2 linked regions of the Nothobranchius furzeri genome follow. The protein of the gene in region 1 interacts with the protein of each later gene in a pairwise test. Links are inferred from orthologs where the notes say so. Each region holds a gene or a part of one and is shown on either strand. Other genes may lie near its edges.

What was found.
Region 2: the proteins of nfyc (region 1) and dr1 interact in binary tests that used the Homo sapiens proteins (3 or more experiments, as listed by UniProt). The link is inferred for Nothobranchius furzeri from reciprocal best matches to the Homo sapiens genes NFYC and DR1.

Annotation. Positions count from the first base shown.
Region 1 is NC_091759.1:20,555,084-20,558,004, forward strand, and holds part of nfyc (nuclear transcription factor Y subunit gamma), read right to left. Parts: intron 2,889-2,921; coding exon 2,712-2,888; intron 990-2,711; coding exon 921-989; intron 586-920; coding exon 427-585; intron 201-426; coding exon 96-200; intron 1-95. UniProt on the Homo sapiens protein: Component of the sequence-specific heterotrimeric transcription factor (NF-Y) which specifically recognizes a 5'-CCAAT-3' box motif found in the promoters of its target genes.
Region 2 is NC_091756.1:58,164,634-58,168,640, forward strand, and holds the start of dr1 (protein Dr1), read right to left. Parts: upstream 2,839-4,007; 5' UTR 1,782-2,838; coding exon 1,562-1,781; intron 1,461-1,561; coding exon 1,297-1,460; intron 1-1,296. UniProt on the Homo sapiens protein: The association of the DR1/DRAP1 heterodimer with TBP results in a functional repression of both activated and basal transcription of class II genes.

The sequences.
Region 1 (2,921 bases):
TCGTGACTTGTGCACCCAGTGATTTTTTTATTATTATTTTTAATCACAACTCATGCAGACTGCAGCACACCGGCTGGTTTTGTTGCTTTGATTACCTGCTGGGTGTTTGTCAGAGTCTGAATCTGTCCCTGGACCACTTGCGCTCCGGAGACAGGCTGGGCTAGTCGGATGTATTGTAGCTGGCCTGTATTTAGCTGCACCTGCAGCAAACCGACACAAGGGGGAGACAGAGTTTCGCTCAGAGAAAAGGTCATTCAGACACAGAGGACAGCCATTTTCCTACCCTGGACAATGCAGGATTCTTCACTTCCTGCTTGTGAATGTTCCAAAAACATCCGTTTAGTTTGTTCTACAACCATTTATCTGATTTTTCTAGTGTTATCGCTTCGGTTTCCTTAATTCTCCCAGTTGGACACAAACTCTTACCGGGATTTGCTGAATCTCTCCCGTGTTGGTGATGATCTGCTGCATAACCTGCATGGTCTGGCCTTGGGCTTGTGCCGTCTGAGCTTGACCCTGCGCTGCAGCAGCCTGGACAATCTGCACCTGCTGGCCTTCACCCACCTGCATAGCAACAGGCGCACTCTTAAAGAAGAAAAATAAACACAAACAGGCGTCACGTGACTATTAGAGCTGGAAAAGAATGACTGAAATACAGTTAATCCATAAACATAAAGCGTAAAGTATTTACGTTTAACAAAATGTAATCAATGATTCTAAAGCTGGCTCCAAAAGATGTGACATCACAGGTTTCATGTCCTCTATTTCTCTTCTGTCTGTCACAGTATCTAGGAAAGGCCATCCGATCTCGTGCTGCAGACACCCCTAGAGAGTTCGGTCATCTGAGCAGCCCAGAGTTTGCAGGTGGTGGTCACCCACCGGGCCGCGGCACCGAGTAGACAAATAGTGCGTGTGTTTACCGTGATGGGTGTGCCTTGTGATTGCACTTGCACTTGCTGTAACTGCTGCATGTTGGCACCTTGCAACATCTGATGGCCGACAGAATAGGATGAAAAAATGAGAGAAAGACACACGGTGAGAGGGCAGCGATAGCAAAAACGTAACACACACATGTAAGCGTGAGCTTCAGGCGTTAGAATGGAAAACGGAGGATTTAAGCAACATTTAACGCCAAGAGAAGCAGGAGATTCAAAATGAAATGATGAAAGTTGATAAACACTAGAATCTGCTCTTTTTCAGCCAATTCCAGTTTCTGATGCCTGTTTAAATGTTATATTCTGGGTGCCTGGGTCTGGTTAAAAAACGACACTGAGTGTATAAAATGATCTTTACTGATGTCTGCATGCAAACACATAAAATGTGAAGTTTTTCTCCAGGCTTACGCTCTACTTCACCAACTAAACCCAGAATGTGCCTCATTTAGGGGCAATTTCAGTCTGTTTTTGTATTCAGAGCTAGAAAAAAAAGCACTGTTTACTGAGTAAACTTAAAAAAAAACTTTCTAGAGAATTTAAATTTAAACACATCGATTAATCCAATGTGCCACTGAGTAAATGTAAATGGGTGTGGGACAAAGTGACAAGCAGGACTGGGAATCACACGAGGCCCAAGCATGTCTGACAGCTCGGCTAGCAGCAGTCTGCTGAAGCAGCGTGAAGCAAGAGTGAAGCGGAGCGAGCTACGAGCAGGAGCCAAACTGGAAGGAAGCAGAACTAAAACAAGCAGGAAATGAACAATTCAAAACAGAGAGACAAGCGGAAGGACTACGGATTAGCTTGATGGGCGGTGAAAGCACCGTGAGCCAGGGGATGAGGCTCACTTCACAGCTAACTCTGAGAAACTGGAGGTATGTTGTTGTTTGGGTGCAAAATTAGAAAAAAAAAGGATTCACAGTGTTTACATTTCACTTCTATTTTGTTTTGGGTTCATTTTTTTATTTGTTTTGCATTTAGAATCTCTTTAATAACAATAAACATCGTTCAGTTTTATTTTGTAGTTTTCTGCATGAAGACTGACATCTTGTGGTGAACTATGGGTACTGCAGCCCTTGTATACAAACAAAAGTGACTGAAGACGATCATACACACCGAGTTGATGCGTAAATAAAAATGTTTCGCTGCAATATTGAGTTGAATAATATTGGAGGAAGTATCTTGAGATTTTTTTAGAGCCAACAAATATTTTTCATCCCCGGTTAGCATTGTTAGCTCAACGTTAGCCTCTAGTCTTCAATACCCAATATTAGAATAAAACAAAAAGACGTCGTGGCTTCTTGAGGGTACAGAATTAACTCCTGGTTCCTTTTACTGGCCAGCATTCTGTCCATAACGCTGCTGCTGTGAAAACTCACATACGATTGGCTCTGGAACCAGCGAGTATGGAGTTGGGGCAGATTGTAAACAAAGACCCTCTTCAGCCATTTTAAAAGGAGAAAACCTGAAGACCCCCAGAAAAGGAACTGTGTTTTGATGTAACTTTCCTTCCAGCATAATTAAGACATTGGAAGGTTTTCTGATCATTTCGCTGTGAAATTCTTACTTATTACGCCTTCAATGTTAACTAAAAAAAAAAAAAGTATGACTTCAGAGGGTCATATCTGCTGTATCTGCTGCTCCGCTCAGACAGACCGTACGTTCTGTTGTAACAGGGATGGACTCGAGTCTAAACCCCTTTACTCTTTAAAGCAAAGAGAGCTGGTTTCCTTCTGTTTTTGCTTCTTTACACCTTTCCCTCAACTCTGTTTAAAGCACCTGTCCTTGCTGAGGTTGCGTGATGATGATCTGCCCGGGCTGGATGGTCGTGGCCGTTTGCGTGCCGGGTTGCTGACCCTGCTGTGCGCCTTGCACCTGTACAGCTCCAGCCTGTTGGGCCAAGGTGAAGTAGTACTGCACCGGCTCTGCAGGAGCTACAGACTGACGCATCTCTTCCTGCAGGCAGGACACGAACACACACACACACAC
Region 2 (4,007 bases), on another chromosome or scaffold:
ATTGCAATTTCCCACGCGAGTTGTCTCCGATCCAAGTTTTGTCTGCCAAAAAAAATAAACAAAAACAGCGAATTTGGGAGGCGCTTCACAGCCCAACTTAATTAGCATACCAAGTCCGACAAGTAGTTGTATATTCACGCTTATGTGCTTAAAGGAAACTCCCGTTTATTGCAACCCGGACTTAATTTCTAGCATGCAGTACGTTTGTTTACTCATGCTGACAACTTTGGTGCTACTTGGATTCCCCGGGGTATTTACCGTAGATCCATCGGCGAATCGCCGTCAGTGTATATCCGTATAACGGGTGCGGACGGGCACCCATGGTGCAGCCTCGAAATAAGACATTATCTGCACCAAAACATCTCAATGTCGAAAGGTTTTGTTAGGAATCATTAACGTGATTCCCCTGTTCGTTTGGAGCGGGTCTGGGATTTCTAGGCGTAAACAGACTAGCCGCGGCTAATCTAACCGGCGCTTTTAATGACGTCACTGCCGTGCGCTGGTCTGTTTTTATTAAGATTACCGGTAGATGTACCTTTGTCCTACTGAGGAGAAATTAGTTTTCTCCCTTTATTGACCAACAGAGTTGTTCAAAAGTACAGAACAAAACATATGGCATTACATCTTATGACAAAAATGCACCTTAAACAGAGTTTAAGCAGCAAAACATCACTCTGCAAATAGTGTATATATAGTGGGACAATTCATGATTTAAAGTGTTAACTTTCACCAGTTTTTGTATGCACGTTTAAAAAAATGCTGATACTTGAAAGGTTTAAGCACTTTACACACTTAATTCTTAACATTTAACTTTTGCAATATAAATTGAGGAATGTTATTTTTTGAATAAACTTGTTCAATAAATTGGTGTTTTTAAATAGTATCGAAATCGAGTACCGAGTTTTTTCCCAGTATCGAATCGAGTTTGAAATTTTAGTATCGTGACAACCCTAGAAGGCAGCACAATGACTTTTAATCTTTAAAAAGGCTAAACGTGAATAACATCAGCAATGAACTAAATCATCTGCTTCACTCTAATAATAACAGTATTTTTGTAACTTTGCACTTTGTTGTTCATTTGCGATGTTCACCAGGACGTTTCTTAAATGTTACGATGTGTTATTAATAAAAATGAATATAACTTTGTTGTTTTGTTTATTCTCAGCTATACAGATAAGTTTAAAGTACTAAATAAACACTCAGAGCTCATCCCAGGCCAACGATTACTGATTGGCAAAAGGGAAAACAAGAATGCTCATTCAAAAAGCACAAGCTTCACGCATGAGGACGTTTCACCTTTGCAAACAGTTCCTGTTGTTGTCTGAGGAGCTCCTCTTCCGGGATACCCAAATTCTCCAGTCGAGAACTGGCCTTCCTCCTCTTCAGAGCTACAGTTTTACACTCCTGCAGGACGTCTTTGACCTCCGTGATGTAAGACGCGAAACCGAGGCTCTCGAGGGCTGCGGTGCGAAAACAGGAGGTGAAAGTGCAATCAGTTAGTTTCAGCGGTTAGAACCAGGGAGGATGATACTCTTCCTGGTCTGGGTCGGGACTGACTCACCGTTGATGACATGCTCAGGAGATATGGTCTTTTTGTCGGATTTGTTGCATATTTCGTTGGCTTCCGAGGAAATGAGGTGGATGAACTCCGTGCAACAGTTAACGACGAGCTCCCTGGCGTCGTTGGCCACTCGAACGTTAGGGAGAGTTTCCTTAATCATTTTGTTGATGGCTGCTCTGGGGATGGTGAGGTCGTCGTCGTTCCCAGATGAGGAAGCCATCGTGGCACAAAAATAACTTCCAACTAGTATTAAAATAAAAATAAAAAAACGGAGCTCCGCTTCTTTAGTGTGTGGAAGTTACCAGAATTAACAAATGTCTATCTTCTTGAGTCTTCGGAGTACAAATAATAAAATGATCGGGTTGAGCAGACGTCAACACAAAGTTAATGTCATGAAGAGATGAGACGCTTCCTCAAAAGTTAGCCGGTTGGCTAACGGCTACTTGTGTGTTATAGCAAACAATGAGCCGCCTGACGATGTGACTTTTAAGGAATTAGAAATGAAAGCAAGTGTCACGGATATCTTCCACACACGCTGAACAAAAACACTTCACAAAACCCTAGTATATTAATAAGATGTATGTCTAATTAGCAACCAGGCTAGTAAAGCGGCTGCTGTTTTCTAGCCCCGCAGAACAGAAGTGAAAGCTGAGGCTACAATTAGGCTAACAATAAAGAGCTCTCTGATGTATGTACCGCTGCTCACACAAAGACTAGCTTTATGAAGTGCTTTAACACCACCGATTATTTTTATCTTACATTGCCAAATGAACCAAACAAATTACACAAACGGAAAACTTACAGTAAGGGATTTTAGGATAGCATTTATTCTTAGCAACATTAGCCTAAATGTGTCACGGATGCGCGTGACGAATAAACCGGAAACATGGCTTGGTAGTCGGAGTCTGAAATGAAACCCATCAGGAAATACTGCCATCTAGCGGAATCTTTGAAGACAACGCGTGCTGTTATTTTTGAACTGTGCTCAGTTGTACATTCACAGCTGGAGTAAGCTTTTCTAAACACTCCATAAAGCGTTACCAAAAAGAAGGCCGTCACAGATTTAAAAAAATAATCAAAAAACATTGTACAAATCGTTAAAATATTGAAAGTCACATTGTTTGCTACCTTTCATAAATAAACATTCTCGACTGACAAATGCAAATAAACGTATTCTTTTTTTGTTTGAGAACAATTATAGCTGTAATGTAAAAAAAACAACTACCACGTCTTTTGGTATTTAAAAATTGGACAAATATAAAAATAAGTACATGTGATTTCATAAGAGGGAACCCTCAAATTTCTTACCATGCTTTTATCTGATTTTAAGATATGTTGAAATAGCCAATGTGCATCTCTTTTTTAAGGGACTAATGTTAATCCAGCCTGAAGCAGAAATGTAAGAATTTTAAGGTGTTCGTTTAGTGATGACAAAAGCCGAACAATAAAAATCTTTATAACAGCCTGATGGTTGCTTTCAGCGTCAGCTGGACAACGGTCGCCCTCGCGTGGAGGTTTTGTGACATTACATCAAACTTCAAAGTCAGCTTTTCTGAAGATGCCGAAGATTTACACTAGATAATATGAGCCTTTTATTTCTCATTATAACATTTAAATATGTTCAAAAACTCAAGCTTTAAATGAATCACGCCAGCACTGTAACGTTAATACCAGAAACTAGTCACGATAACTAATAAATGACCTGCACTTGTGTAGATCCTTACAATCAGAGGACTCCAAACCACTTTACACTACACTGAATCCTTCATCCATTCAGACGCACATTCAAACAATGATGGTGATGAGCTAGAATGTACGGCTGCCCTGGAGCACACTGACAGAGGCGAGGCTGCATAGCACTGGTGTCACTGGCCCCTCTGACCCCCACCAGCAGGTAAGGTGGGTGAAGTGTCTTGTCCAAGGACGCAATACGTGACATGATTGGGGGAACCTCGGTTTGAACTCGTAACCTTAACCTCATCCTCTTAACCCCTGAGTCACCAAAATCAACCTTGATATATATTGTAATTTTAAAATGAAGGCACTTTTAAAAAGCTGATCTTAAAGAACAAACTTTGACGTGTTCATTTAGTGAAGATTAAAGCAACGATACTTTTGACTCTACAGGGTTTGATGGACTTTTTTCATGACTGCTGCAGCCCCAACTTTTAGATTTTTTAACAACATGACAAGAGAAAATAACATACAACCATAGCTGTCTATGTTCCATATAGCCTTTCCAAAACAGGCCCAGGATTTCTACAGTAAATCCTGATCCTCTCATGTCTTATCCTCTCATCCATCTCAGGTGTCCCACAGCGTTAAGCCTGTCTTTGTGTTTTATTTCTTAGAAGTCACCTTTGCCATGTTTCTGCTGCACTGTACAGCCGGATGCATATAAAACTAAAGGAAACACAAGCTGCCTTTGCTTCATCCAAGTTCTTCC